4 linked regions of the Lepisosteus oculatus genome follow. The protein of the gene in region 3 interacts with the protein of the main gene of each other region in a pairwise test. Links are inferred from orthologs where the notes say so. Each region holds a gene or a part of one and is shown on either strand. Other genes may lie near its edges.

Evidence for each region.
Region 1: the proteins of otx1 (region 3) and tns2a interact in binary tests that used the Homo sapiens proteins (3 or more experiments, as listed by UniProt). The two-hybrid records come from large-scale screens. The link is inferred for Lepisosteus oculatus from reciprocal best matches to the Homo sapiens genes OTX1 and TNS2.
Region 2: the proteins of otx1 (region 3) and cysteine-rich hydrophobic domain-containing protein 2 interact in binary tests that used the Homo sapiens proteins (3 or more experiments, as listed by UniProt). The two-hybrid records come from large-scale screens. The link is inferred for Lepisosteus oculatus from reciprocal best matches to the Homo sapiens genes OTX1 and CHIC2.
Region 4: the proteins of otx1 (region 3) and vwc2l interact in binary tests that used the Homo sapiens proteins (3 or more experiments, as listed by UniProt). The two-hybrid records come from large-scale screens. The link is inferred for Lepisosteus oculatus from reciprocal best matches to the Homo sapiens genes OTX1 and VWC2L.

What each region holds. Positions count from the first base shown.
Region 1 is NC_090696.1:17,524,361-17,532,149, forward strand, and holds the start of tns2a (tensin-2), read left to right. Parts: upstream 1-4,689; 5' UTR 4,690-4,774; coding exon 4,775-4,888; intron 4,889-7,789. UniProt on the Homo sapiens protein: Tyrosine-protein phosphatase which regulates cell motility, proliferation and muscle-response to insulin. Phosphatase activity is mediated by binding to phosphatidylinositol-3,4,5-triphosphate (PtdIns(3,4,5)P3) via the SH2 domain.
Region 2 is NC_090696.1:78,484,539-78,492,639, reverse strand, and holds the start of cysteine-rich hydrophobic domain-containing protein 2, read left to right. Parts: upstream 1-4,923; 5' UTR 4,924-5,237; coding exon 5,238-5,359; intron 5,360-8,101.
Region 3 is NC_090712.1:9,476,602-9,484,240, forward strand, and holds the start of otx1 (homeobox protein OTX1 B), read right to left. Parts: upstream 3,315-7,639; 5' UTR 3,225-3,314; exon of another isoform or gene 2,941-3,224; intron 1,126-2,940; 5' UTR 1,032-1,125; coding exon 935-1,031; intron 231-934; coding exon 79-230; intron 1-78. UniProt on the Homo sapiens protein: Probably plays a role in the development of the brain and the sense organs. Can bind to the BCD target sequence (BTS): 5'-TCTAATCCC-3'.
Region 4 is NC_090707.1:8,198,185-8,206,577, reverse strand, and holds the start of vwc2l (von Willebrand factor C domain-containing protein 2-like), read left to right. Parts: upstream 1-5,274; 5' UTR 5,275-6,542; intron 6,543-8,364; 5' UTR 8,365-8,381; coding exon 8,382-8,393.

The sequences.
Region 1 (7,789 bases), on a different chromosome or scaffold from region 3:
AAACCGAGACTGTGTAACGGGTCTTCAGCGGGGATCGCGACTTGTGCCCTGCAGATTCAATGCGCTTTACTAGAAACCGCTAAAGCCATACGTTTTTGCTGCGTACTGCGCCACACGTATTACCGATGTGTGGACATCGTTGACGTACATTCATTGTCTTCGCCCTAATCGTAAAAACCATAGTCGGTCTTGTCCAGTTCGGTATCCCCTGGAAACGTGCGTTCCCCCCGTCCAAAATATGCACGTTATCTCGGACAGATGATTTTTTTTATTCTCCACATATAAAATAATATATGTAACACACTCAAGATACAGCCTTTGCGTGCTTTGTTTCGGGTTTCATTGTGTTGTGTAAAGAATAGTTAAACTTTCACGTGGTGGCAGTATTTTTTTTTACATTACTACTTTACATTACTTGTTAATCCCTAGCAAACGCATTAAATACTTCGAGAGACAGAAATACCCACAAATAGGCTCCTTTTATCCCTCATAAACTAAGGCACAAATATGCACGCAGGAGCTGCTTATACCATGAAGTGTCCTGGAAAGTTTTGGGGAGCGTGTGTTTCTGACACCGGAAATCAGATGTACGTCATCGCTCAGTGGTCTAGGTAATCATTTTGGCAGATCACCACACAGGGAAGTAATTCATCCAGCTGTTTCTCAAAGGAAGGCAGGATTTCTGCTTTAACCACATGGCTGAGCAGCCTGTTCCCTACTCCCACACTCTGTTGTGTAAAGAAGTGCTTCCTGTTCTCAGTTTTGCACTTCCAGGTTACTTCCATACTATTCCAACTCGTCTTAAGTAACCTGCCAGGAAAACAATTGAACCACAGATCTAAAATAGGGATCTCGAATCTTGGTGCACAGGACCTAGACTTCTGCATGTTTTTTTCTTGGCGCGCTTTAACATATCAATGAGCAGAGATTCATTCGTACTTTTTAAGTAAACACTGGATTCACCGACGTCTCCTATGGTCGAGCTGGCGCTGAAACCCGAGAGGGCCGTGTGACACCACAAGACTGCAGCTGCACAGGTAAATGTGTCATCCCAGTGCTCGGGGTTTCTGGTTCGAACCCTCGACCAGCCAGGGACTCCCTGGTTCTCCACACCGAGAACCCACTGTGACCGAGTCTGCAGCAGCAGTAGCTGTTGATCCTGTTAATCTCTGAATGAGCCACTTCAGATAACAGCATCTGCTCAGCAGCTGATTAGATATCGATTCCAATCCGTTCTGGTCTGAAGCATCATGCGAGGATAGGGCCGCCCCAGCCCAGAAAGCCTGCCTGCCTCCCTGCCCTCTCGGCTTTGATTCTGTCTCCTGTGTTGTTTTCTGGGTGTGCTGCCTGTACCCCTCAAGCCGAGCACTGGGAAAACTCGGAGCAATGGACTGGCATTCGAGAGGGTCTCTGGCTCATACCTGCGAGCTGCGCAGAGCCCTGTTAATGGCCTGCTGTCTGGGATCAGGAGCAGAGGAGGCTTGGACCAGGCACAAGAATTTGCCTTACAAGGGGCTGTCTTCACCGAGAAGCTGGGGGCGCACGCAGAGCTGCCCTCCTGCTCTGCTCTGCTCTGCTCTGCTCTGCGCACGTAGGGCTGTACGTACGGCACCAACACATTTCCTTTGTCAAGATGTGGCCAGGTTTGCTTGTTTGTGCACAGCAGTTTATGCAGCAGAAAGATGAGGCTGCAGTGCAGCGCAGCGTGACACTTCATGTGTGTCAGGTGGAGGAGGAGGTGGGGTCTCTGGGTGTTGTCCCAATCCGAGACCCTGCCAGACTGCGGAGTCCCGGCAAATTGCAGGGCTGGTGTCCTTCTCTGACTGATTTTGTTTCTGGGGAACCAGCAAACAGTTTCTTTCATCACTGCAGCATTTGACAAGGATTATATTATAATATTACCGTTTACATGATACCTTTGAGCTAGTTGCATGCTGTAGTTTTTTACCACTTATTTCTAGCTTGTTAAATGTGGTCAAATGCAGAGGTGTCTTCCTGCCGGTGGGGAGAAGACAGCACAAGTGTGTTTTCTGGCATCCAAAACTACTGTACTACACACTTTGACTCTTTTACCTGTTGCAGTGCAGAACAAGCCGGGGAAATACAAATGGAATAGAGCCTCACTGATGTTGACCATTTTTAACAATCTTACCTTCGACCCAGAACTGCTGTACACATGCTGTACCTTTCAGGCAGTTACAAATATCTTGTTTGGTGACATTTTTTTCCTGGCTGATTTTAAACTGGAAGATTTAGCACACTGTCAACCAGTACATCACCACAGAGTGTTTGTGGCCTCTTTTACAAGCCTTAATTCACTGATCCATGTCCATGGTACCACACAGTTCTTAAAATTAGGATGCATCAGATTTATAATTCTTACTCTGGATGTATGGGGAAAAGCATGTTTTAGCTGCGGTTAAGAAATGACCAGTCATATTTCTGGAAAGTAATGCTGAAGACCAGCGAGCCCTCAATGACCCCAGATTTTATTTCATGTTGTTTTTGTGAGTCATCCCTGTGAGGTCAGCGAACATTCATTAACTGTGAGGAGATGCAGTGTTCATGAGGAACATTTCTCATGAGTGGTGACCGGTAATCTTCAGGCTGTTGTCAGATTTTGCTCTCAGACCTCGATCACTGTCTTCCTCAAATGTTAAATTGTCTTACTGCTCTCTGCGTTCAAACTCAACTGCCTGTGGGTGTCATTCTTCGCACTATTGCTACATATTTAATTACATTTGAGGGTATTTAATCCTTTTAGCCGTAAGCTTCACTTCTCTCCTCTTCATTAATTCCTGCATGGACTCTGTGGTGCACAGATCTTAGAAATTTTGCATTTTTTATACTTTTTCCAGTGTTTTTTCAGAAGCACAATCCAATTGCCCTCTGTGATTTTAGCCATTTTGTTTAAAGGTAATGGTTAATATTGACAAATCTGTGTTTTGTAGTACAGAAAGTAGAATTCTAGCTTTATGAAGGTGTAGTGAGTACCAATTTACCAATAACCATAACTATTCCTTACACTTAGTTCTTTTCTGGACACTCCACTCAAAGAGCTTTACAGGTAATGGGGATCCCCTCCACTACCACCAGTGTTTTCCCCACCTGGATGATGCACCAGTATGCTCCCCGCAACACCAGCTCTCAGTGTTAAGGAGAACAGAGTGATGACGCCAGTTCATACATGGGGATCATTAGGAGGCCACGATTGGTAAAGGCCAGGGAGAAATTTAGCCAGGACACCTACTCTTTTTGAGTAGCACCCTGGGATTTTTAATGAGCACAGAGAGTCAGGACCTCGGTTTTATGTCTCGTCCCAAGGATGGCATCTTTTTTACAATACAATGTCCCCTATCATTATACAGGAGCATTAGAACCGTCACACAGACCACAGGGAGAGCGCTTCCTACTGGCCTACTGGAGCACCTGATATCGATCCTGACATTGATAACGTCTGACCAACCAGTTTGACCTCATGAGTAAATGTGATGGATTTAGCACAACACCTCAGATTGGCTCTCCGTGTAGAGTTGAGATGTTGTGATTGTGTTTGTGTAGCTGCAGATCAAAGTGAATTAAAGACGCTAAACGACAGGTTAGGTGCCTTCTCATAAGCTGTACTGCCAACAGTCAGAGTTGTTATAACAGTAGAAAAAAGTAGTGGAGGTTCTGAGTAAATTGTTGATGCTCTTTACAACATACATATATTATAATTCTGGATTGTCTCCAATGTCTAAGACTTTAGCCCAGCAGAGAACCTGGATACATAACTGGTTACAGTGCCAACAACATCAATTTAAGTAAGGTATAAGGTATATACTTAATTAGGTATAAGCAGATGATTTATAGAGGGCTCTTCACATTCAGATGGCATCGTGTTGCAATTATACTGTATATTGTGCTTAAACTGTAGCAAAGGGAATTATTAGTCTGCTTTCGAATCCTGGAGAGAAGCAATTCCTTGTTGTGTTTCCAGTGCTGGTGCCAAAGCTCATTGCTGGCTGGACCAAGCCCAACCTATATTGCATCCCTTTATATGAAGCTTGCAGACAAAATAGCCTTTTCGCCTTGTGCTGTGAAAGATGTTTCCGAACGTTGTGGTGGCACATTAAAAAAAGTCCACGTACAGACTTCATAGGGGATCTACAGGGCCTATAGAGCATCTTGCCTGTCTGCAGATTGACCAGGTGATGTGCTCTAGAGAGCAGCTGGTCAGCAGGTAAATAAAGAACAGCGCTTTTTTCATGTTCGAATTGTAGGTTCGAAGGTTGGTTAACATGAACGTCACCTGCATCTCTCCAATTTATTTTACCTGAAAAAAAAACGAAACATGAGGCTGCTTTAAAGGCCGAGTTGTGGTTGTTTCTGGCTGTTTTCGCCTGCAGAGAGCGTACGTCTCCTGGGAGGCGCGATTCTGAATTTTGGCCTCCATTTGGATGGAGGGGTCCCGGCCAGGAATGTACACAGACAGCGACAGGGAAACCAGGAATGGGGCTCAGGGGGGACGCGTTCCCTTTAAAATAAGAAAAATCCGGCCGGGGGGGGCGCAGTGGCTATCGGTTTCCTGCTCGTATTGTACCTCGTTGCAGCGTCTGCGCTTGGGCTGGGGGTTGTAAGTGAGCCAGGAAAAGCAGAGGAGGGGGGCGGGGGGCGGGGGGGAGGGCCTGGCGTCAGCCGACAAAAACAGCTGTGGGACTGTGGAGTGGAAAACAGTCGGGCATGAGAGAGGGAAGAGGGGAAGAGAGAGACTGACAGAGGGTCCCCGCTCTCTATGGGTTGTGCCTGGAGCTCTGAGTGCTGCGGAGAGGAGCTGTGCCCGGTGCCGGTCGAGTGGGTGCCCAGGAAAGAAGGCCCGGGCGCTGCGGACAAGATGAGGCTGACGAAGGTAGGCTCTAGAAAAATTCAGGGCAGGTCCGGGGCTGGCATTCCGAATCGGATTTGTGTTGCTGGTGCCTTGGGTCTAGGGCAAGTGTGCTGCTTTCTCAGCTCAATCCGGCTTTCCAACACCGGCGCTGGGCAGGCTGTGCAGTGTGTCTTGCTGTCGCAGGTGGCCCAGGATCATCATGATCTCCAGGGTCTGGATCTGGGCCCCGGGTTCCGCCGATGTGGTCCCAAAGAGCTCAGGGACGAATCACTGAATCAGTGTGACTAGGACCCGGGCTGTAGATCTTCGGATGTAGTCAATCTTTTCACCCAGCTTCTCGAACCTGGGCCCAGCCGCTGCTGTGTCATGGCTGGAGTGTTCTTCTGCCCTGGCTGGACCACGGGCCTTTCTGTCTAAGTGTGAAAACTCTGATTAGGTGCTTGCAAGGAATTGGATTGTCTGGAGTAGCCTTCAAACTGCAAAATTAGTGGGCAGTGACAGGATGACATTTAGAAAGCAGTCTCCGGGATCTTGAAATTACTAGGGTTTTTTAGGTTTGGGGAAATGGCTGGACTGACAGAAAAGCATGGAGACACGTTCATATGAGGGGGCAAACTGTACTTTGGGTGCTGTGCATTTAATAGCAGGAATGGAAGCCCAACACCCATTTAGAGGAGGATATGTCACTTTTTATAACGTTTTGTGTTCGGAAACCATGTGTCCAGAGAATCAGGCTATTCCGACAGTGCTGAGCAAGTCCAGAAATTCGCAGCCTGTTTCTGGACCACATGGGGTGAATGTAAATGCACAGTGAGCTTACCCTTTTATCAGTGTGTACTCGCTTGTGTACTGATACAACTCGAGCTCTTAACAAAATATAGGAGCTGATAAGAACCACTCTTTGAATTTCACAGGAGCGACAGTGGTACACATCCAGTATTCAACTTGGATCCTGAAGGTCTAGATAACTGCCTCAGTGTCTGACTTTCATTCCAGTGAATGAACAGAAGTCCTCCTAACTAACAGGAGGGGCCCCAGGAACAGGTGTGCTTGTGCCTGTTCCCTTTGATGCCTGGTCTTGTTCTTTGTCACATGCAGTATACAGTACATGATCTCTGTGTCAAAACCACCTTTGCAAGCCTAGGTGGGTGTTATTGTGCGTTACTGTAATGTTCCTAACATTAAGATTGCTCTGAGGAATGGGAAACTGTCAGGGAGGAGTACGATCCATAATTCTGTTGTGTTCATTGGTGGAGCTTGTGGACCGGCGGGATCTGGCAGAGAGGAACGCCAGAGCAGTGCACTGAGGGACTGGGATTGCTGTGTGTCACTCACACCCTCAGTTTGGCGGTGGACTGGGTGGGAGGGGTGTTGGAAGTTTTCATCTTCTGAAATCTGGGTCCAAGTTCTGGTTCTGGTTTGGAACGCTACCCTACTCACTCTGATGTGCGGGGTATAAAAAAATCTACAAGCCTTGTTTTTGACTGGAATTGTCACCAGTTTGGGCTTCCACCTGGTGCTGAAATCCAGGGAGAATTTAAAACAGCAGAGCATTTGAATTGTACAATTAGAAGTGAATCCTGTTCCGGTGGTGTTGTTTACTGTAACTTTTGTGTAATTTGTGACTCTCCAATGTGACAGTAGTGGTACCCTTGAGCAAGGTGCCTCACCTGAATGGTTCCTGTAAAACACCCAGCTGTGTGAGTTGGTGCCAGTGTAAGTCATTTTGGACCAAAGCATCAGACAAAAATAATATAGCTTTCTCAAAATCCAGCTCCCCTGTCCTTGTATCTGTAATACCTGATGAGGCCCAGGTTCCCATAGCAATAAAGACAAGAACGTTGGCAATGGCTGGTAGAGAGGTGGTGAGCTTTGCTGCCTCGCCCTGGGTTAAATTCTGGGCCTGGGGTGCTATCTGTGAGGAGTTTGTATGTTGTCCCCATGATTGCGTGGGTTTCCTCTAATAGTCCAAAGACATACTGGTAAATTAATCAGCTTCTGGGAAAAGTGGCCCTGCTGTGTGGTTGTCTACTCTGGGATGGAGTGGGGTCCCACCAGGGTGTACCCTGCCTTGTGCCTTTTGCCTGCCGGGCTCCCCAGCTGCCTCAAAACTCTCCTTTAGAACCTGTCAGCAAAATTGAAATTGTAATACCCTGAATTAACCTTGAAAGGCTGGTTGTAGTTAGGGCAAGGTGCTCAAGAATTGAAGTGAGTTCTTAAGCATTGTGATCCCATAGTTTTCTACCAAGAGGCTGAATCTTCGGGACTCATGTGGTGACGTTTTCTGCAGAAGACTAGTGAGATCCGGAAAAGGCGCCACTTCCTTGGAAATGGACGCCAACAGGCCTTTCCTAGCTTCCTCAGCCGGGATTCTCATAGTAAATGCTGCAACTGTCTGTGGCCGTCAGTAGTACTTCCGGATATAGCTTTCCCGAAGCATGCCATGCATTCTCTGGGAATTACAGAAAGCTCCATCGGTTTCCTCCGAAATATTCCATGGAGATCATTATACAAACGTCAGCATTAAAAAAAAGTACTTGGAAAATTTGCGCTCACACACACAAAAGAACATTTTGTAAAATCAACATCCTCTCCCTGTGTTTAAAGGAATATACTCTGTGGCCTCAGTCGATACTGTAGTTGGCCTGTCTCTTCATTCTCTGATTGTTGGTTCAGCTGGGAAATTGCCCAGAGTGGCTTTGAGATCTGTATAACCTGCAGACTGAAATGTTATCCAGCATTTTTGTTTAAATTTTTGGCAATGAAGTGACTTAGCATTTATGGTGAACAGGAGATCTTTTGGTTTTGAATCACTGCAGACTCGTAAAACAGTATTATTTTTTTTAGTTCTGATTTTAGACAAGGGGATTCAGACTCTAGTCCTGGGGTGCTGAGTGTTTTGTTACAAATTAAACAATTAAA
Region 2 (8,101 bases), on a different chromosome or scaffold from region 3:
ACATTTAGATATGAGAAAAACACTGCTTGATTGATCACATTTATAAATATTGCCGTCTAGCACTTGGCAGTAGCCGCACACAGCAACACACTCGAGTGTTACAAGCGCGAAGACCTCAGCTACCGTGATGCGTAGCCGGACTAAGCTACCGTGGGCATATTTCAGCATTTTGCAATCGTTGTGATACCTATTTATTCTCAATGTTGGCGATACCGTGAAGAAATCCATTAATATCTTGTTGAAAGACCATCATTAAGCTGTATGGACGCCTTTTTCAAAGTTGCATTGTGGTAAGTCAACCCGTGGAACATCTTGGCTAATATAGTCGCGTGATTTCTCTTTTATTAGTTACTAGGCAACTGATCATGAATACCAAAAACTGAAAAGAAACACTCGGGTCTTCAAAATAGTCTTCAATGGTAACAGAAATGAACAATGATCCAGGGGACAACATAATACCACAGGAGTGACATTTCAGGAACAATTATCTCTTTAAACAGAATACCAGCTGTAATGCCCACTCTGTTTTCCTTGTTCTGAGAAAATAAATTCGCTTTATAGCATCAATGAAAACAAAGTTTGTGTCACAATTTATGCAGTGGACTAAACTTGTTTAATCTACATTATCAATACATTATTTCATTTTTTTCATAAAAAACAAGACAAACATACACTATATTTTCCAGAATGTTAAATGTTATAACAGGTTTTGAGAACTTGACTTCAGAGTTCAAGATCGTTTCATTCAGGTTGTTTACCTTGTAAAACTTTCAGCTGAGTGTGTTGGTCACTTCTTTCCAGAATCTATTATTTGAATGGACTTATTCTGCATGTGCTCATGTTTTTGCTGATGGTTCTCCTTCATTAGGAGAGAGATGAAGCCTTTTCAAGAGATCCTTATTTTCAGATGGTATTAACATGCTCTTATAAGGAAACACAAAAGTGTATCCAAAGCTTTTTAACTGAATTTTCTTTACCACTTTTTAAAATTTGAATAACAAGTGTCCAAGGTACCAACAAACTGCAATTGGCCAGGAAAGGCAAACTATCTTGACAAACCCATATCATAGAAGTGATAGTAAATCTGGCCAAGATTTCACTGTATTTGGCTTCCGGGTTGTGATACTGTGGAAAGTGATGTTCTTGCTACATTTTTGTCTCTCACCTCCAGAGAATTGGGATTGGGCCCTGATGTACATCCTTTCTAGGCTTTTGGGAACTTTATTCACCAGCTGGCAGAGCTCAGAAAACACTTTGAGAAAATTATATTGGTCATTTGGCCAGCAATGGACTGGCGTCCCATCCAGAGTGTATCCCGCCTTGTGCTTCTTGCTTGCCAGGGAAGGCTCCAGTGGCCCTGTGACTCTGTATTGGTTGAAGTGGTTAAAAAATGGATAGATGGATGGAAATAGAATAAAACATGGAGAAGGGGAATTCCTAACAGATATGATTTCAATATGTATGAAAATACTTTGAATCTAAAAGGCTAAAGCTTTACTTACAGGATGGCCACACCATCAGGGGGTGACGCAGATCACTCTTAAGGTGACCAGCAGTAGTTTTTAGCTCTATAAACCCTTACAGACCCTGCAGTTCCAGAGGGAACTTGGTCGGTTAGTCTTGGCCTTTTCATCTTTTTTTAAACCACTCATGTAGTGCTGTAGACGAGAGCAAGCACATACAGTACAGTCATGTTTATTTCATAGCAGTGTAGAGTCACACAGTTTGCAGTAATCTTATATTTTCACAAAAAAAAGCTAAGTACTGTATATGCCTACCCAGGGACACATCGGTCTTTAAAAATTCTTCTGAGTTGTATCTATTATACTATACTAATACTATATATTATACTATTATACTAATGGTACTATTTCCATTGTTCCATTGTTACATATGGCAATAAAGTTCAAGTTCAAGTTATTATACCTATAGCATCCTGAGCTTCTTAAATTGTACAATGTTGGAAATCAGGATTTCTAACCAAACAAATGGAAATGATTTCATGTTTACAACAATGTCACTGAAACAGGTGAAAATATATCTAATAAAACCATATCCTATAGTAAACTATATCCTATCCTGTGACAGCTGCACAAAAATAAAGTACTGAAATTATACATTAACTTTCATGTACATGTATGTTGAGCAACACTAAAATTATTCCATTGTGAAACGGATTCTTGTTACCAAGATATTAATAAAACGTAATTTTATTGGCATTACAATAAAGCAGTTTCCACATGCGAATGAAAATCAGACAAATTCAGTAGGAAAGTATGACAAATAATTTAATATGAACAAAGCAACTGAATAGTCCCCATTGTTCGAATTGGAAAGTGACTGAAACAAAGGCTAATGGGAATCTATCTGCAGAGGATTAGAAGGGTTTAGTTGAAAAGCTGGACTCCAGTGTTTCTAGAAAGAGGTATTCACTGTGCAAATGTGTTTTGAATTTGTAGTTCAATTATGAAAAGGCAGAAGTCAGAAAGAAGTATCAATCGACTTGATGGTGTGACCCTCAAAAGCTCCCCAAAAGTTTGCTTCATTAGGCAAGATGGATAGTCACTGTCTTACGGCGATCCAAGCACAAATTACTTATTAAAGCTCTTTCCAAATACCCAGTTATATGTTTCCATAAGACTAAGCAAACATTTATTAGTAAATGAGAGTGAGTAACGGGGAAGAATACAACAGCCCTTAGACCAATTTCCTTGCTTGACTTACTGATCCGAAGTGCTGAAAATCTGTCTTAATTTCAATGGGAAGATAATGCAGACACACTCTCGGTGACACTGCATTGTGGTTCCTTATTCCCGATGCTCCAGAGTCAGTGCCTTGGCTGCAGGAATCTGTCCCCCTGGCTCTGCTCCCCAGGAGGCCAGACTCAGGTGCCACACCTCTCCCTGGGAGCCCCCCTCTGACCTGCCTTCTTCCTTCCTGTGTGCCAGAGGGACGTCATTAAGAAACTGTTGCACAGACCTTCTGCATTGAAGAAATATTTCTTTGTGTGCTGGTCCATTCCAAGGTGTTGAACTGATCCCCGAGGATCATTCAGTGAAATTTCAGGATGGAATCTAGTTAGAAATGACAGCCAGAAGTCTGTATGATGTTTCTTATGTTCTTAATTACAAATTTATGAACATGTACCTATCAAGAACTGAACAAAAAGGAAACCCCTTTCAAAATTTCTCTTAAGACCGTATATGTGGTACTTCCAGACATTTTAACTGTTAATTTAACATTTAAACGTGTGTATGTATACAAGCATCACATGCCTGTGGGATTTGAAGGCATTATACTAGCTAGGCAGACTAGCGAGCCTCTTCACCCTCTGTAAAACACAAAGGTGCAGTACATTCCATTCCATCTCTTCCACCACTGGCAAATTCCACATATAACAAACAGTAATTTTGGGATATAGAATGTAGTTTATGGTTTTGTTTTATTGTACAAAGTGGTCCTAATCATTTATATTTCTTCAGATGACAAACAATTGTGTTGAAGCACAATGTTGTTGTATAGCTGATCATGGTATAAAACTTATTCACACAGATTTATGAATTCAGTATTTTGCTTTTATCACTAATTAATACATTAAAGCTGAGCTCCTTGTCTGTGTATGGCAGTACGACATAACAGAGGGCTCTGGTTTTGCTAAACAGGTTTATGTATTCATGTCACATTACAGTCCTCCTTCTCTCCTATTTATTACATGCCTGGAATACTTTCTGCTGTATCCCAGTTCACGTGAGCCGGAGGGCGTTGTGATGAGAGTATGCTGTCCAATGTGTATGGCTGCTACTATGCCTGTGCTGCACGGCAGCTCAGAGACATCACCCCCTTGGGGGCTGCAGTATTCTCGAGTGTTCAGGGGAAAGAGGAAGGGCGTGATCACTCACCGAGACATCACCGCTGTTTCACCAGTAGTCCAGCAGCTCTTGTACATCATCATTAAATCGCCGGTCTCTAAAGATGCACCTGTTAAATGAAGTAACTTGGCGGTTTGGGACCCAACTCTGGGCACGTCTGCCCTCCAGGTCAAGCACCAGAGCTCTGTTCCTCGGAAAGACGGACCTGGGTCCGAGAGGGGGGGACCGGTGGCCCCTTCACTGCTGCCCCCCAGGAGGGCAGCTGCAGCAGCACCAGCAGCACCGGGTGACGGGACGCAGAGGCACAGCCCCAGGACATGCATGAAGACCTGAGAGCAACTCAGAGCAGACTGTGAGAATAAAATATAAAACAAATTCTGGTGTTTTGGTTTCCAGGCGTGAGTGTCGTATTCTTATAAAAAAATGAGCTACCTCTGTTCTTGGTGATTTTTACACCCGATTATGCAGGAAACATACGTTTCTGCTGGGAGCTCTTGTGAGCCATAGACCTCCCTGTATATATGATATATATTGCATTGATGTTTATGTACAAAATTTATTTGACCATCATGTTTCCCTTATTTTGTGATGATTTGCTTTAGTATTTTTTTATATTTCTAAATCATTAGTAAAAATCAATAAAAAATGTAGATATTTGCGCTGCAACTCCCACGTGTGTAATTGGACTGAAGATGAACAGACGGATGATTTAATTGGTGACGAGTGCTTAAAGAGATCAGAGCCTCGCAACGACGTTAACACGACCTATATAAAGGTAAACACGAAGCTTCATCAGTCTGAGTGGGACTCGAGGTTTCTCGCTTAGTGTGCTGTAGAGGGGCATGACTGTGGTGACTGATCTTGTTCCCTCTGGTGCTTGTGATCTTCCTGAATTGCTGAAGTGGGCGGCTTTCTTAGACTCCAGACACCCCCACGCAGAAACACCCTCCTGCCCACGACCCCCTGCTCTGGATGCCGCAGGTGAGAGGGGGGCAGTCTTGCCGAGTGCAGGACTGGCCGGCCCCCACGCCAAGGCGTGCGTCGTCCACGGTCTCAGGTCACCCCGTGAGCGTGTGTGCGCTTCAGTCTGCAAGCGGAGCCGCGCAGCGCTGAGCGCGTGACCCCGGCACCTGCGCACTCCTCCCGCGAGCTCCGCTCCGCTCTCGCGCCGCGTGACGCAACCTCTCGCGAGGCGGCGGATGTTGTTGTTTTGCTCTCGAGCTGTGAGGCTGCGCCTTCGCCGCTCGCCGGGTAGTTTGTTCGGGGTGTCAGTTTCTCGGGGGGCTGCTGGTATCGGGGGGTCGCTCTGCCACCGTGTGCGCTTCTCTCGGGCCAGCGCAGCGCCGGGGGGGCCCAGGCGAGCGGGCGATGATGGCGGACTTTGACGAGATCTACGAGGAGGAGGAGGACGAGGAGCGGGCCGCGGAGGAGCAGCTGCTCAAGTACTCGCCGGACCCGGTGGTGGTGCGCGGATCCGGCCACGTCACTGTGTGAGCAGCGGGCGAGGGGCGCTCTGGGGTGCCGCGGGGGTCTGGCCGCGGTGTGTCCTCTCCGCTGCGATGCCGGCGGGTCTCGGGCGCAGGAGAGGCGTGCCGGAGGCGGTCCGGCCGAGCGGCAGAGGCCGGGGCTCCGGTGTGGGTAGGCCCTGTGCGGGGTCGAGTGCGAGAAGCGCGTCGGTGGGGGTGGACCAGGCTCACGGTCTTCTAGTGCGCCGCCGCGGCGTGGGGAGCCTCTGCCCGCCGGGCCCGGGTCCCCCCAGTCCGGGAGCCCACAGCGCCTCTTGCCAAGACGCCCCGTTTGGCAGCTGCAGCCGGGCAGTCGGGCTTCAGCGTGTTGTGTGCTCTGGGGAGGGGTGATGCGCAGGCAGGAAGCCGCGGTGCCTGAGGTTTTGTTTGGAAGTGTTTTCGTCCTTCGTGTTACAGTCCTGCCGTGGTCCAAGCCCGGGTGCCTTTTTTCCAGCAAGTGTAGTTTGTGCACCACAGTTCTGCCGGTAGTTTGCATGTCCGCAGAGGTGAAGGTTGGCGGATTCATGTAAGGATTCAGATGTAAAGATCTTGATAAAAGCTGCTGTTTCCTAGTAAAGGGAAGATGAAAATGTTAACGGTGACTTAGCTAACTCAAGAATCTGTGAAAGTATGATACGAGAAGGAAAAATATAGCAGCTGTAGTATTTTACCTTTTCAACTGACTTCTCCCGAATTTTTCTTTTGGTTGAATGCCTGTGCTGTTCCAGACACTAGGGGTTGTGGGTTAAGCATACATTATGCTTTTAACCATGGCAGAAGTTTTTATTAAGTGGGAATATGTGCTGAAGCAGCAGTAAAGAGCAAATAATGAATTAGTCCTTCCTGATTAGAAGATAGTTTACTAAAAAAATAACCTGTTTATTTTCTTTTATAGTTATTACATCATGTTCACATGGGTGTGAGTGCATCTGTGTATCTGTCTACTGTAAATAAGCACACACTGGTGGTCAAAGCTGCGAGAAATATGGAAACAAAGAAAGATCAGAATAAATGTCAGTTTTCATTTATAAGCTTTTTAATATAAAAACTCAGTCTGCCAAAAATGCTTATAAAAACAATCTCCTTTTGTTGGCAACCACAGCCACACAGTGTTCTTTAGCACAGTGCGTTTGTTTTAACCCTCACAGATCTTTCCGAATCCTCTCAGATCAAACATTTTTCCACTCTTGCCCATCAAACCTGTCCCATAATGTCTCGGTGGAATTGGGGAGGTCGTGGGAGCTGCAGTCAGAGTTCTAGACTTGTGGCTGGAAGGATGCGGGTTCGAGCCTCCTGGCGAAGCACTGCTGTTGTCCCCTTGAGCAAGGTGCTCCAGCTGAACTGCTTGATGCAGCTTCGCCCCAGGAGCAGGTTCACGCCGAATACCCAGCTATGCAAGAGGGTGCAAATGGGCGCTAAACACATCAGCCAAAGGCAGCCCAGGAACAGTAATGTTATTTTCCACGTATGAACTTGAGATCAGTTACATGTAGAGTTGACCCACCTGACCTGTGTGATGTGGTTGTGATCTAGGAGCAGCGCTGTTCTCTGCATTTGCACTTGTACATCCTGGTTCAGGCTTCATAGCTGGTCCTGGCAAGCTCTTCTGGCTGACTTTGTCAGGACCTGTACTGTTTGTGAATGTGAATCAAGACCCTTGTGGTCTCTGTTCAGAACTGAATGGTTTTTTAGTTTTCAAGTGTGGTGCAGTGGATATTCTGTTAGGCGAATTGAAACTTTGAAATAAGCTTGGCTTTCTTCTCGCCCAAAATAAGTTGTATTAATGAAGTGGTTATAATAATAGGAAACATTATTGGGAGGCATGTTTAGTACTTCCTGAGTGACAAGATGTTTGTACAGCAGTTTTAGACAGACAGTTTGTAAATACGACCCTGAGCATGAAGGTGTTGTGTTGAAGGCTTGATAGTACCTGCTCTTTGAATGTGAATTAGCTGTTTACTCTTTTCTAGCAGTGTAACAAAATACATTGTTTCTAAAGAAAGGAATATTAACTGGTAAATTGGTTAAAAAGTGGAATTTGTGACAGAAGATCCAGGAGAGGTGCACAGCCCTGGTGCTGTACAGGGGAGCTAGTTTAGAAGGGTCATTTTTTAGCTAGAAGTATTACTGGTAATTGTGCTTTAATTAATTTCAGAATTAGTGTTCTTAAAATAAGACCTCCAGAGAATTGGATAGTAAGCTTGGTTTGAACAGAATAATCCTACCAATCTGCAGATTTGATTCTGTTGAAATAACTAGCCAAATTGTTTTACTGCATTGCTTGATCCATATAGCCTACAGGAACATGGCCCTCTCTTTGCATTAAGAAAATACAGCTCTGAAAGCTTGTGTGTTCTGAAACTTTTGTTTTTGCTTATTTTGAGCTGTTTTCCTAATCAACACCAATGGCTTGTCCTTCCATTACTTAAATTTAAAAGTTTAGGTTTCATAAAAGCATTCAATTGCTTTGATTAGACGAGGCTCTGAAAGTCCAATAATTGCGATGAACGGGACTTGTGATGATATGCTTTTTTCCGCAAGAGTTTTCACATTTAACGTTGATTGTCCGTAGCTTGTCTGATAAAGAGAAAGGGGAGAAAAGTCATTACACTGATGTTCAAGGTTGCCAGTTTTTAGCGGCAGCTCTAAAACAGAGCTAACAGAGCTGATCCGGACTGATCACTGGGTGTGAATTGTTAGGGCGTAGCAGTTTGCCTTCTCTAAACC
Region 3 (7,639 bases):
TGGTTGCATACAACACATTCAAATACGGTGCTCTTAATCAGATGAGTCCAACGGCAGCAACAGCGGCATTTAAAATACCTGTACTCTTGACTCGGGCAAGTTGATTTTTAACGCCACCTCCTCCCTCATGAAAATATCCGGATAACGAGTTTTCGCAAAGAGCGCTTCCAGAATGTCCAGCTGTGAGCGCGTGAAAGTAGTCCGCTCCCGACGCTGTTTTCTCGGGGTCGCTGGAAGGCAATATTAAATATTTCAGAAAACCGTGCTTTCTTTTTTATTGCACATTTAACATGCTATGAGACTCACAGTCTGCCGTTTTAATACTGGTGTATTGTAAAGGGTAAAAATCGAAAACCTCATATTACCCCTCCACAGATCATTTAATATTCGTTAGCCATGGGTTAAAATGGTTTCTTTACAATTCTGGACAAGAACTCGACGTGTAAAAGTCTTTTAGCGCTGTTTTGAATGTACCTGCGGACAGACATTACAACGCCATTTCGAGAAGGCTACAAATGTTAAAATACAGTACCATTTTTCATTCTGTGTAAAAATAAACAACAGGAAACATTTCGAAGCGTCAGATTAATTTTTCATGAGGCAGGCCTTCGTTAATAATTAACCCGAATCTGATGCCGGCCTCATGCAGGTGTCACAGTCTACAAAGTTTATGATAGTAAAGAAAAGGTAAGGCAGGTTTTTATACAAAATCATGGCTACCTCATGTTAGTCTGCACTTCCTAAAGAAAAAAAATAAATCAGGCTTTTAGACACGGTAACAAATCAGAGACTAAAACATTAACATTAAATCATAGCTCTGGGCCTAAAAGTTTTCTTCTCTTTTTAATTTAGGGAAAAAATATTTCGAGTACAGAACAAATAAGCCTGAAGCTGGAGCGCAGACCATGCATTTAGATTTTTTTCTTCTCTTTACCTGGATATCCCACTGAAGGATGTAGTAACTCCATAGCTGTTCCGCTCAGCCCCAGCCCGTTCATACCGTACGGGGGCTGTTTGAGGTATGACATCATGCTAAAGGCTTTATCAGGTTCCTCCAAATCTTGCCAATTATTCTATATTCTCTTATATTAAACTCCGGGTCAATAGGGCGATCAATTGAAAGCACTGAAAAATAATCATAAAAAAATCAATTAAAGTCTTCATTCAAGTTACTATCTCTCTGCTAGAATTCAACACGGTGCATTTAAACTCTCTAGAAAGGTTACAAGCCCTGGTGTTAAAGCCGTGCCCACAGCATTTTCGTGACTGGCAGTCGGTAACGTAAAAATGTCGTGAAGTGATTGAAATTTTACTTCAATCAATTTGGTCACAAAAATGAGGAAAGTACTTTTAAGAATTCAAAACACGGGGTGAGGTACGCGTTTATGCACTCAACAGAATGTCAATTTTGATGAAGCGACCCCATTTTTTTAAGTACGAAAAAATACAATTGCTGTATGAAGGAATCAATGGCAGAAATATTACTGTTAACCTATTTATAATTTATTGTATTAAAAACACCTCAAACAGCGAAGTTCGACAAATACAAACCACTGTGTAATACAACCAACACTCCAATATTTTTGGTATGTAGGTGTCAAACTTCTTTTAGATGGAAATGTAGTTCAGCGTTGTTAAAACTGTCAGGAGAAATGTGAAATTGTGGTAATATTAACTAGGTCATAAAGCCAAATAAAAAGTTTTTCAGCTGCGAGATGTTTACGAACTGTAGCTCTCCACTTTGGAATTGTTTTGTTACTGTAATATAATACGAATTCATATTTTTAAATGACGTGATATTGAAATAAGCTCCAAACATATACATCTTAAATCGTAAATTTAGAATTTCCAAAAAAAAAGTGTCACGTTACTGAATTAATTTGACTTTCTAATGTGGCCACCATCTTCCACAAATACCCCCACTATTCATAATTATTAAGTAATATTGAAAACAAATTAACGTGAATAAACAGGAATGTAAAGGCTTCCAGTTATAAACTAATTCCAACTGAAGCAGATAAAGGAAAAACGCTTCAAGGTACAGTTATACATCTGAACGACATGTTGTTTCCAACATTCTTTATCATTTAAAATGTATTCGCATTTCTTCGAAACCTAAACCTGCCAATATCGTATTTTCGATTCAATTATTTTGTTAACTACTAGAACTCCCCCTCCTAATCAAGATAAGATCTGGTCCCGTGCTGTGAAAATGAACCGGCAGTAAACCTGGCGTATTCTGTGTATTTAGATGTTTCTTAAACTACATTTGCAGCTCCACAGGACGGAGATAAACTAGATTGAAAAGGCGAGAGCTCCGTGCAAATGAACTCAATTACAATTTAGATTAGACCTCCAGGGAGACCATTTAAAGAAGGGGTCTTATCAGCAAAATAAATTAACAAAAACCAAAACACGCCTCTCCAATTATCTACTAAGTAGATTCAACATTTTTAATGGGCAATCGGTCTCTTATAATTATCCATTTCCATGAGAATAAATATATAGGCTATATAAAAAAGCAGTCCAAACAATTCTCGCATCAAGATCGAAGTTGTTTTAAATTCCCCATACTCTTTGCTGTGCACATTAATTGGGATCTTTAAATTGTTTTTGGGGCAGCTAAACACCTTCTCTAGAGCGCACAGACAGAACAGCAGGCTTCTCAGACCGTATGTAGGATAGCCTACGTGTAACTTTTATCGAAAGACGTATTGTACACCAAGAAGGTCCATTTAATTATCATATCATCATCATTATTATTAACACAATTAATGCCCAACATTCAGAAAATGTATTGCGCTTATGCTGCACATTAAAATTACTTATATGGCAAACTTCACGAAACAAAACAAGAAACAAACCAAGCTATGCGAGTCGTGTTCATACATGGCAAATTTCTGAAGCGAAAGCGAACTAGACGAAACCATGCAAACTTACCTTCAATTTATTTCTTTTTTTTTTCGATGGTCAACAAGAAGCGTATTTACATAGAACAATATCCAGCAAGTGAAGAACTCTGGGATTCAGCAAGGTGGAAGAAAATAAGGAATTTAAAACTACCTATATCATTCGCTATACTTTTTAATGGTTAAAAAAAAACCCCGTCGTGCGTTTACGTTTCTGTACCAAACACTTGCAAACCGCACGTGTTCGCCGTCGTTTCACTGCTGCAATCAGTGAAAGTTTCCGGGTTGGAAAACCAAATAAATCAAACGCATTACCTTGGCCGCAATGTATGTCTTCCACTGTGTTTAAGGTGATTGCTAATGTAGACCGATGAAGATTGATCACCTTCTCTCCGCCCTGCCCTTCTATGAGTGTGAGACACCTGCGGAACCGCCCCCTCGCACCAATCCGTGAGCGCTCTTCCCATGATTGACGTCGCAACGAGTCAATAACTGAAAAGAGTTAGGGGGAAGCCCCTCCCCTTCATACTGGGAACAACATAAACCTGCAAAGTAAGACCAGGGGGATAGAAAATGTTTTAAAAATGAATTGGTGTTTATTTTGTTGCAATTTCGTTAGCCACTGAACTGAGGGCCGCTAAAAACAACAAAACAGAGTGTTTCTGTCAGGTTGTAGCGGAAAGTTGTCGATTTGCGTGCGTGAACGAGAAAATCTAACCTTTAAAAGAAGTATTAACTTTTACAGTATTTTCTGTTTAAGGATTATTTTTAACAGATACGGAATTTGGCGAAAGAGGGGCCTGTACACGTGTTATTTGAGCAGGAAAGATCAAATCTGGAGATTTTACTTGATCTTTTGAAACGGTTAGGTGCATGAGATTTCTTCAGATGTTACGGATTTTTTTTTCGCAGTGGAGAATTTATACTTTGTGTCACCTACTAAAATACAGAACTAAGCGGCTTTCATCAAACGTAAAATTAAGCTAGTTTTAAGAATTAGGCAGTAGCTACGGGACTTTAATGTGTATTTAATGTGATAAACGTAGACGTATTAAAATTACTATAGGTTTGGGAGCAAAGTTTTTGCAAAATTAAATTTTCTTTTAGATCATGAAATTGTGCCTTACACATGTCCATATTCTAACAAAGTAACAAAGTAGTATAACTTCAACTTTATTTTATTTTGTAACGACCTATCAACTAAAATCCTGAGCAATTGTTTTTTTTCTGCTGATTTAACATGGAGATGGTGTAACATATTGGTGCCAAGATCTGTCGACCAATGTCCTTTGAAATTTAGTGCGCATTATTTCTGTTTTAGTAAATATGCCGAAACAATCTGTATTACATTTTTTTTATTTTAGCAACCATCTCATGAATATTGATGATGAGTTAATCCCCCACTTAGAATTACATTTCAGAATAGTCAGCGTAAAGTTTAATAGGGACTGTCTTTTAACAGAGCGGTTGGGAGGGGAGAGTGAAAAGGACGAGAAAAACCCAACCGACACCAGAAAATAAATGAAATCAGGCAAGAAAGCTCAGTGGCTGGGTATCAAAGAAAGCACCTTTCAAGCGTCACTTTCCTAAAGAAATGCCAATAAAATACGGTAACAGAATATCATGGAGGGCACACTGTTTCCTTAACTGTTTCTCAAAGGGTCGGGATATGTTCTGAGGACCCTAATAAGCCTTTGCTCGCTCCTATTGTTGATCTCGCAAAATCAACTCATTCTAATTGAAGCCGGAGCTGAAAGCGAGCTAATGTTCAAAGACAGTGACCGCCAGACGAACGAAATTACATTTTTGACTATATAGGACGACTAATCAAAGGCAGGGTCTACACGATTCTTCTATAGATCCAAAAAGTCATCGACATGAGCACTTTTTTTTAAGAACAAAGGTGCCGCTACAAAGGCACAGAAGGTTTGAAAACAAAAAAAAAGTTCTTACGTGAGGTGTTTTTTTACACAGACACTGACAAACAGACCCATATAGGCCCATATGTATATACCCGTGTGTCTCTGTGTGTATATGCACACAAGTTTATCTGCATGCTGATAAAACACAGTTTTCAAATACATTTGCACGGATCTGATGTCAAAGTATGTACCCGCAGTATTTCAATTACACACCAATATTTGGATGGACATAGTTTCCCCACACGTTAAACCCAGATGATTTCTTGTTTAAGCGGATCTTTGCATTAATGCAGAAAAAAACGACAACATTGCAGATTAAAATTTAGTTTAAAAAAAACAACAAAAAGTCTTCTTTTAACAATTCGCCAGATTTGCTGTTTTTATTCGTGATCTCTGTTTAAGATGTGATCAACCCTGTGCAAGTATCAAGGTATCAAGTAGCACTAACCTTTTGTAATAAGAGTATTTGTCTAATCCCAAATTGCAGACGAATTTTCTTAATGCTGAGCCTATAAAGGCCGGGATTAAGGAAGCGGAGGGAAAGGGGAAAAAAAGTTTTGTCTCTTTAGCCGACAGGATTGTATTAGATCGTGGATGTTGTTGGGTGCTTATTAAAACCGTGATGCATAAAATACGAAATCTGTAAGAGCCCCAACACAAGAAGATTTGTAACGTCTTCCCTGGGTTCATTTTTTTTGAAAACTAGGAGGGAAATTATACAGGACACAACGGCCGGGGCTCCATGAAATCCGACTGATCAACACCTGTGAGGTGAAACTAGACTTCAAAGTGTTTACATCTACAATACACAGGAGATTATTCCATTCTCACATCGACCTCTTAAGATATTTTCTGCAGTGCTCTTCGTAGCAAAAGACGCATCTTTCTTTCCGTTTTATCGTTTTTTTTTGGGGGGGTTCTCATTCTCCAACGTTACTGCTGAAAAGCTACCAGTGCAGGTAAGCACCGAGAAACATATTTTATAGAATTTTCTGTGTCAAGAAATAATCTTATTCCAAAAATTATACCGGATGTTACAATTCTTTAAAAAAAAGATCGTATGGCGATTTCTGATTGTACAGCGGAATAATGGAAATCCATATATCTGTGAATTAGGAGCGCATCTGAAAAGTTCATTCGAAAACAGTTTAAAGTTCGAGAAGCTAAAATTAATCTCAGTGTAACGTGAATATTGGCTACAAAATACAAATGATAATTCTACGAAAAAAGTATGTTTTTCTTAATGTTAATACTAAATATACGGGCTATGTTTGCCCTTGAAGCGGTAGCACTTATTTGAATGACTTAAATCATAGAAATAACCCAGATATTTCCGATATACATATATTGATATAATGTAACCGTCTTCCGAAAGTCGTCGTTAATAATTTAAAGTTTTTTTCTCATATAAGGTTGATACAGTTGTTCTATTAGAAATTCTAGGACCATTAAAAACAAAAGGCTTTACATGAATATAAACCATTTTCCCGAATTGTTTTGTGATGGTATTAAAATGGTTATGCTGTCGATGTTCTTTGTACGCCAGTGTTCTTGACAACACTGCTACGGTTGCATCAGCGGCCAGAAAAGTACAGTGTACCTCGGAAAATAATGAACTGGAAAGTGTCGCGTCCGAACACAGGTTTTTTTTATAATACTGTGCTTCCCAATTCATATTTCTTAAAAAATAAATGTATTGAGTTAAAGAATTAACAAAGACGGGTATTCATTCAATGCAGCAAAGTTTTTCGGAAGTGCATTCGATTGTGAACGTTATAAATTGCAGGTTATTCAACAGATCACGGTCACCAATAATAACAACATCATAACGAAAACAAATCGCCTTAGAGGACATAATATGGGTATACAGTTGGACCCAAGCAGAGAGCCGATCAGCAAATTAATTTGAAAGTATTAGAAAGGCCAGAGAGGACGTCAGCTGTCAAAACTTATTTTTCACTATTTAATCACAGTGATGAGGACGCAGTGATGAGTATTTCGTGGCTGGTGTCATTAAGAGGCGGCTCTTTATATATAAAAAACCTTGCTGGAGAAGGGACCGAAGGTAAACAGATGTTCCGTACAAAACGATTTCGTCTAATCTGCCTCTCAGGAATGAATAATCTGCATTAACCTAAATTAAAACAAAATGCAAACACTCATTTATAAATGAATTTAAAACACGGGGGAATTCGGTATAACTCCTTGTTAGAAGAATCATTCAGATTCAACTTATGTTTTAGCCTATACATCTTACATTATTTGCACTGTAGACTGGTTGCCTTTTCTTTTTAATTGATGTGTCCAATTTAATTCCAAAATGACATGTTGTAAATAATGGCAAAGTAAACTTCGGGTATTTTACTGAAAACAAATTTGCAAATGCTAAACAAATTAATGTAGCATTTAAAAAACCTATTATTCATTATTTTCAGCAAATACTCGGCGTTTTATTATGAGCACCCCGTCACTTTCTTAAATGTTAGTGGGTTACAGAAAACGCTTATCTTTAAATGTGATTTTGAGATTTTAAGCCCTGACGGGTGAAAGGATTGTGCAATTTTCTAACCCTCCACTCTAAACGGATACCCGATTAAATGGTTCATTATCGCACGCAAAAACGTTATTTGAAATAGTCTGCGCTACTGTACTTTTTATTTTACGACTTCGAAGAAAAAAAATTAAAATAGCGATGAAAATAACGAAAATGTTATTGGTCGTGACTGCAAACTTTATAAGCATGTACACCCCCAGAATTATATTACACTGAAGAAATTAGAATTTATTTGAATTCTCCACTTTCCAGCA
Region 4 (8,393 bases), on a different chromosome or scaffold from region 3:
ACGAGAAACCTCTTATGCAACTCCTTTTCGTTCCAATTGAAAAGATTGGACATATCATCTGGATTTTGTGTCAGGACTCTTCTTAAAGCAATATCCTATCTTCCCCACTGGACTTTTTTTTTACCGCACTGATCTTTGCGGGAAAGCTTTGTGCCCGTACGGTCTCCGTTGGGAACATTCTGCAGGATGAGCAATGAGGGCCTGGAAGTGAGTCACACCTCTGGAAACCTTTAGAGGACTTTTAAGGTTCTACAGAGCGAGCAGTTAGATCAAGACGCTGGAAATGTCAGAGCCCATGGGGCCGGGTTAGCACAGGGCCTCAGCAGTGCTCCTAATAACCAGTCGAGAGGGAGTTATTCCTGCATTTCTAATCCATGGGAACACAGCGGAGCTTGAACAGGGACTCCAATACAGCTATTTCAGAGCCGAGGCGCTTCCTCGACTTGTGAAGGGCACCAGGGTCCTTGGGGTTCTAAGTCTTTGCCCCTGGGTCCTACAGGAGGCTCCTTCTACTTGACTGACGGCCCGCGACTCAATAAGACAAGCACAGCGGTGCTCAGGCTGTTCAGCTGTTCTGCCATTCTCACTGATTAGGGAACTGGAGAGAAGCTAAAATGTAACAGGAGAAAGTAGAGCAAAAAGTACAAAAGTGTCCTTGTCAACAAATATGTCATCTGCCCACACAATTACAGCTGCCTTCAGCTGTCAATTATTTTTTTTCAAGAAGTAGGAAAAACAACTTAATTTCTCACCATTGGTTATTCATTCATGTTGGTGAGCTGCCTTTTCCAGAATCCTGATGTGCATAAAAGTTTTGTCATGTTTAAAAGGTAATACAAACACTGGATTTCACCTTGCAGTTAAAGATTCTCCGGAAAGATCCTTTTTGGCTTTTTAAAGCTTGTTTCTTATCAATCTGGAAATGAAAGATTTCCAGGAGGTCCTTTATTTGTTTTCAAAGCAGTATTTCCTTGCCTGAAAGCACAACAAACCTTGAAAATAGTTATCTTTTAAAAAAGAAAAGACCTACAGTATCTCCAGACCTTGATTGTTGCTACCAAATGGAGCGGCAGTTCTAGAGAAAGAAGGAAAAATAGCACCATTTACAAAAAACTGGTATCCTTAGGAAAATTATGCTCTGGGTTTTGATTTATCATGCCAGCAAAAGATAGTCATCTATGCAGGAAACTAACCACAAAACCTAAGCTTAGGAAAGGGTTTCATGCAAAAACAAAAATATAGTTACAATTAAGCATATGTAACATTGTTTTATTAATGTGATAAATTGCAAAGCTACTGATAAACCACAAAAAGTAGATGCTCCCACTGGCTAATTATATTAGAATTTGTTGCAATGACTGCTAGCTATGTACAGTGCTTTACCAGCTGTCTAATGGCTTGCTGATTGGTTTTCAGACATGAACTGGCATAATAAACCACTGGACTGCCTTCAGTAAGAGAGCCTTAAAGTAATTGCTCATACTGGCAAAGAATATTTATGCCAGCAATCGGTATCATAAGTGGAATAATCTTAGAAAGAACATTGCATTTTTCCTGTGATGCTCCCATCACATTGGTATAGTATACCCTGCTTTTTGGTTTAATCAGATAACACAAATAAGGAAAGTTTTATGGTAGTATTTTTCCTTCCTCCACATCCCCTGTGATCCTTTTCGTATCCTTTTTTTTTTACTAAGGAATTCATGAAAAATCACAAGGAATTCATACATCCTCATTCTCTTTCTGTTTTGTTTAATCATCTTGACAGTGAACAACAAAAATAAATGTTTCAGTAGGATGCTACATACATCTATGCTGACTGCTTTCACAGTGGTCCCCAGTTTTTCTCCGAGAGATTGGATTTTTGAACTACATTATTTATTTCGTCGTTGCTGACATCTTTTGAAACTGTTTTAAAAGCTGGTACTGAAGCAACAGGTTTTTCGGGTGAGGGACAGTCTCGCTGGTACAGCCAGAGGAAAGCTCTGGGTTATGCTGCAGAAATATTTTTTCTCCAATTTAGTCTCACACGCAGCAGTTCAGAAGTGGGAAGTGGCCCTGTGACCTTAAGCACTTCAGAAAGGGTCATCTTTGTGTCTGCCAATTCACAACTAATTCCGAAAGCAAGTCTGATGAAAAAAAAAACATGTTTTTAATGTTTAAACTTGGAAAAAAAAACACACAGCAGTACTTTGAACGTGTGTCAGCAGTACAATCTCTGCACTTCCTGATCAGCTGCATATTGAAGAGCCAGTTATAATCACTCCTAGGAATCTGACAAGCTGCCTCTAAATATGTTTTTCATTGTAAAAACGTATTTCACATCCACTACCACTGCTATCTTTAAGCATAGTAATTATGAATTTCAGTCTGTCATAAAGACCTATGGTGGGCAATGAAGACAAGAAACAAATCGAGGACAAAGGTACTACCAAGGACTTTTATCTTACAACTAGCACTTTTTTAATTGTGATTTCTCACTTCAAAATGCAGTCATGTGGCACTACAGCAGTGAACAAAAATCACTATTTTAAAAGCAAGTCAGAAGCATTATTAATTGTGTAACACACAGGACAGAGAAGACTATGAGGGCACCTGATTTAGGTATTCAAAATGCTCAAAGACATTGCCAGCATTACCCCGATTGTCTTCCTCAGAATGAACAGTGAAACACAAACCAGAGGTCACAAGTGGAAATTATGAAGAAGTACATCTAAACCATAAACCAGGAGGCACTTCTTTATGCAAAGAGTTGTGGGAGTCTGGAACAAGCTGACCAGCCATGCTGCTGAAGCCGATATACTAACATCTTTCAGGAACTGGCTGAATGAGACCCCGAGTTACAATTTGCTACCAACAGGTTGAATAGTGCCAAATGTTCTTCTCCCAGTTGTGTCTGCTCCTACATTCATATCTAGTAGCCATTGTTCTCTGAAAATGACTGATGTGTCCTTTTGATGTGCTATTACATGTGCAGTTTAATTATGTCAAAAGTTATATTCCAGCTGACAATTAATTTTTGCAAAATAGGCATTCCCTCAGATGTAGCCATTCCCACAATGAATTGACACGCGTCCACTAAAAATACATGTATTCCTTATTTTGGAGCTTTAATGAGTGTGAAATCAAGTATGGGGGCTTTGACAGATGAAAGTAGGTTAAAAAGTTCTAATAATAAAGGCACGCCACCGTTTCGTTTCATATTGTTTAAGCATACAAGGAATATAAAAATGTCTGTGCTGCTCGTCCAATTAAAAAAGAAATCTGTACGAAAAGCGGCAGACTTTGCAGCTGCAGAGAGACCAAGGCCATCTCTGTGTTTTATGGCTGTTGGCTAGAAGTGACTGACACCACCTCTCACTGATCAGTTCTGCATCACTTGAATCCTTGGTTATTTCACCTCAACCCACAGCACATTGAAGTAATCATTTCTTCTTAATCCGTCTGATCTTATTACTTAATCACAGACTGCATTGATTTTTTTTTACATCTCATTCCTTGTGACCTTCTCCTTTGGGTTTGCCCAGTTTATCGTTATCTTTTTGTACAGTATAAGAACAACAGTCTCAGAATTTTGCTGTTAGCTCATTCTAAACTGGCTTAATGTTTCTTAGAAGCATTTGACCAAAGTCCTGAGCTGCACAGCAGTGATTAGTCTGCTGGTGGGGCCACCTCAGCTCAGAAATGGATTTTATTGATTTTCTTTGCTACGTGCACCTCATGATTATAAAGTTTGAGTCTTAAACAAACCAAATGCCTGCCTTCTTGCTGTGCAACCGAACCACAAATAAATATACCGCCAATTATTTTTTTTCTTGATAGAAGCCAAATAAAACAGATAGCACAGCCATTAACCCTCTACTGCTCAGTTCTGTAAAATCCATTTTTCTGAGGTCACGAAACCTGCCCCTATTATTTTATCAATTCCTGATTTTGAACCGTGACTGTTTAATTAGAATGTTACAGGGATCTTTAAAAACTATTGGTTATTTTACCTAAGCGGAAAATAAGCTCCTTTAAAATGCCTGTATTGGTAGTCTTTAAGTATATACTGTAGGTTAAAGTGTCAGTACTTTAAATAAAGAGGATTTCAATGCATCCTGATTCAGGAATTAAAAGTATTTTTAGACAGTTATTGAAATAATTGATACAGAAAGAAAACAACAGAAAACTTTACGTAAAATGTGTACTGTGTTGAGTGAAACAGATATACAGTATATGGATATATGGATACGATGACTGCTGTCATGTTTGGGACATCAATATGGTGGGATAGGTGGGTTCAAGGAAATGGGGGTTAAGTATATCCCCTAACATGTCTGCCTTTATAATCTTGGCACAATTTAACATGTTCCATTTACAATGAAAGAAGTTTCTAATTGATTGATTGGATCAATGGTGGAATCAGTCCACAGGAATACATTCCCTGCCAGTTGTCATGTAACAATGTTAACTAGGAAGAGCTGGAGTCAAAGTTATTCGTCAGGATTGAAATTGCACTGTCAGTCATTTTGTCTGTTTTTTCTTTAGTAGCTGACAAAACCGTTTGTTTTTTTTTTTTACAGTAGCTCTGGAAAACTTCCCGTGTGCTGCTGGTGTCAAGATGTAATTATAAGATGTAAAACAATTGTCTGTAGATGGATGATGCAGAAAATAAACTACTTTAAACAGAATAATAAAAATGCGTCCCTATGTAAAAGTCCAGGTTGAGCTTATTTTCAATTTAAAGTCATGTGCTGCTTCTGCACACGCAGTTAAGGGATAGGTGTGTAGTCACAGTTTCTCACTACTCCTCTAGAAACCATAAAAATATTTGATAAATTCGCTTTGTAAGTTCTCTTTCCTCATTGTATTCTGGAGACAAATACACAAATAGAATGTTTGATTTAGAAATCCCTCACCATCAGGCTGTATTAGTGGGGGGTATAATTGTTCCAGCGATGCGTGAATTTGTTACAAATACTCATCACGGGATTTTTTTTTAACTTGCTAGGAAGAGTTAGTCATGTGAAGTCACACCCTCTGCTGTCCATGGTAATTAATCCAACCGGAGTCAGGGTCGAAGACTGTTTATTGCAAGCTGTATTGTAATTCATAAGATATCCTTTAATTTAGGATTTTTATTCTCTATATGTTTCCTCTTCTTTAGTCTGTTTAATTTATGCTTGAGGAGCAGATGAAGCCTGTGGTATATAGTAAGGCAGTGGCCCCTATAGGTAAACTGAAGTATTAGCTTCTATTCTAAGGTTTGTTGCATTTAAGGAATCTCACGCATAAGGCACGTTTGAACAGACTGTTTGGCGTTCACATTACAAAACTCGTATGAATATGCCTCTTTTACATTGAGTCTGACATTTATTATTGCAAAGTTTCGCAGAGGCCGAGAGCTTTTTGTCCGAAAATAAAGTGCGTATTATTTTGCTCAGGAAGGTTGACTTTTTATTGCGACAAGTAACCAAACTACAGAGAGCAACACCCTGGCCTTGGCGTTCTTTCTTTCCAGAGACAGTATTCAATGGTGGGAGGCGGGGGGGGGTATCTATTTTTTGTTCATGATGTTTCGGGCACGGAAAAAAAAAAGCTTTTCATTAAAAAAGACGCCTGAATTTTAGTCCCTTGAAGAAGCCAAGCGCCACAGAGCTTGCGTGGACTGGTCTGAGGAGGCAAAACCAAGTCATGCAGTTGTCTCTAACGAGACGAGCCCCTTGCCTTGTTGTGTAAGCGACGGCGGTTCACAGGCGCTGTCCGTGGTGCTGAAAAGGGGAACGCGCGCGTTAGCTTTCAGAGAGCGAAGCTGCTGGGACGAGCCGCGCCTGTGCTCTCAGCTCGCACGGCTCTGGGCGTATTTGAGAGAAGGATTACAGTACTTTGCACCGGTTTTGTGAAGCTGTGGGGTTGCGGTCTTATCTGTGACTGTAAACGGATTAGTCTGCGGTTTGCGTCTTGTTCCGCTCCTGCATTGATGTCCTTTTACATCTTCTTTCTTTCCTCTGTTTCGAGTCTCCACAATCGTCTCGTTTTCTTCAGAGGGCTTCTGGAACAATTCATTCCTCTTGCTTTCCTGTTACATCTGCGCTATCTGGAAGTCCCGTGAGCATCCTTGCTTCACAGAAGACTGAAAGTGCCATCGAAAGCCAAGAACTTTAACTTCTTCATCTCTTTCGGAACTTCGGATAAAAATCACAAAACCGACATTTCAAGAACCCAGAAAATATTTTTACTGTTCTTTTTTTTTCTTCTTTTTTTTCACCGCGGTTATCACTCATCGGCTCGGTGGAGACAAAATTGAAAGTAATGAGTTCATCCAGGTTATATACGAAAATAAGCGTGACGCCCCAGCTTCCAGAGAAACGTGTAGATGGGCAGGGGTACTAAAGTCTCACGTCGTTTTCAATCACGTCTTGTTGGGGAACGGATTATTATCTGCCTTCTACAACCACATGGTTAAACTCTAAGCTGGACTGTATGTCTAGGCAGTCCAGGGGGGAACTGGACTCGCTTGATACCGACTTTAACAAAGTGGAACCAGAACTATAAGCGCGGTGAGTCCAGTAATACCTATTGCAACTTCATTAAATATGGCGTTGTGATTCCAATCTATTGCACTGCATTCATTTTAAGTCTAAACAATAGACAAGTATAATATATAGTATCTCCTCTTGAACACATCTGTTGCTGTTTTCCACAATACGCCCATAGAGGAACCATTTCCATTCTCAATGAATGTTAATGTTACACGGGATGTATCCCAACTAAATAGGCAATTCTGAAAAAAATAAAACGTGATATCAATCCTTACACGTCACCGCGATTTTTTTTTATTTTTTTTTATTTTAGAAAACGCAACGGTATCTCAACGACTTCTGTAAAGGTTCACTTTTGAGTCAGGCAGCTGCAGCGATTCTGGTACAGCTGTACAGTACGTACAACATCTGCCAAGACGCTGAAATCGGATTCAAGTCATGTGCAGTTTGATCACTCATTCTTATACTGCCGTGAGGGGTGTTCCATTAGGAATCGAACTCGCTACCTACCTGTAATTTGTTTTAGCAAATTGGAATTAACCCGATTACATACAGGAAGAAGTAACCTCTGATTGCCAAGTATTTATTAACAGATTATTGATCTATATACCGTTATATACTGTATATATATATATGTTGATTAACGGAGTAAAGACTTGCTACCTGCTGTTTGTGTATTAACCAGGCGTTCCTACTTAACACGTACAGTAGTATAGCCATAAATAGTTAAAGCTTTACGTGCTCAAAAGCTTTCGATGGCCGTCTGTTGAGGCTGTTGTAATGTAATCAAAGTTATGAACAGCCGAACTCGTTCTTCACCCAATGCTCTCGGTTTCAATGAGGCATTGTCTCTGCTGTCAGTACAGTTTTAACAACAAAAATAAACGTGCAAATGTGTTTTCTGCAAGCTTTCGGCAAGCGGGAGCGTATTTAGCAGTCTAGCTCTGAGGGCTACGAAGTGATCGAATTAGAAGGGGGTGGGTAGGACTCTCACGCTGTCGCGGGCGATTGTCCAAATTATTTTGACAAAGAGGCCAACTCGGAAGACCCTGTTTCCGAGTTCTCTATGCGAGAGGCCAGCCGGTGGGGGTTGTCTTTGCCACGCTCTACAGATGACTAAGAGACAGAAAAGAACTGGTACTCGTACTGTAAATGTCGCCGGCGCTTTTATTTCTCCCTCTCCATTAAAGAAAAAAGCGCTACCTGTACCAATAATGCATTTATCGATACATTAGTCATATCTTCTGTCCACAAGGGTCAGGCAGATCTCTGTTAAGGCGGGTTGCCCCAGCTGAAACCTTAATAGAAGTTCTATTCTTGTTGTTCTGACAGAACAAGGCGAAAGGCAACAGGCAACAGGAAGCCCAAATTATTTTCCTGTTCCGTGTGTTTTTGAATGAATTAAATCTATTTTCCCCCCACTCCGAGAAGAAATTCTGGTTCTGACCAGCACTTTTGCAGTGAATGCCAGGAACATTCACATTTTTGTGTGAGAGTGAACACCAGACAAACAGTATTCCTCTTTTGTAAAGTATTCTGAATAATGTTTAGACTTTTGATTCAGAGTTAACGGTAGGCCTTAGTGTGCTGTTTTTTTTTAAAAGCCCTTAAAAATTTGAACCTCGCTGTGGCCTTCATAACTTCCTCCCAAATCAGGAAAAAAACATTAAAGTGCCTACCGAATCGTATAGCAACAATCACAATTTCATTTTGCAGGAATGAGTGGAGCGGAATAGTTATTGTATTATTATTACTCATAAGAATAATATTATTATGTGCTAACTCAGAACAGGTTCTGTTCCCTGGTCTGTTATTAAGACCCCGATCTTTTAATGTCTAGGAAATCCACAGAGAAGGATGGGCCCTCTT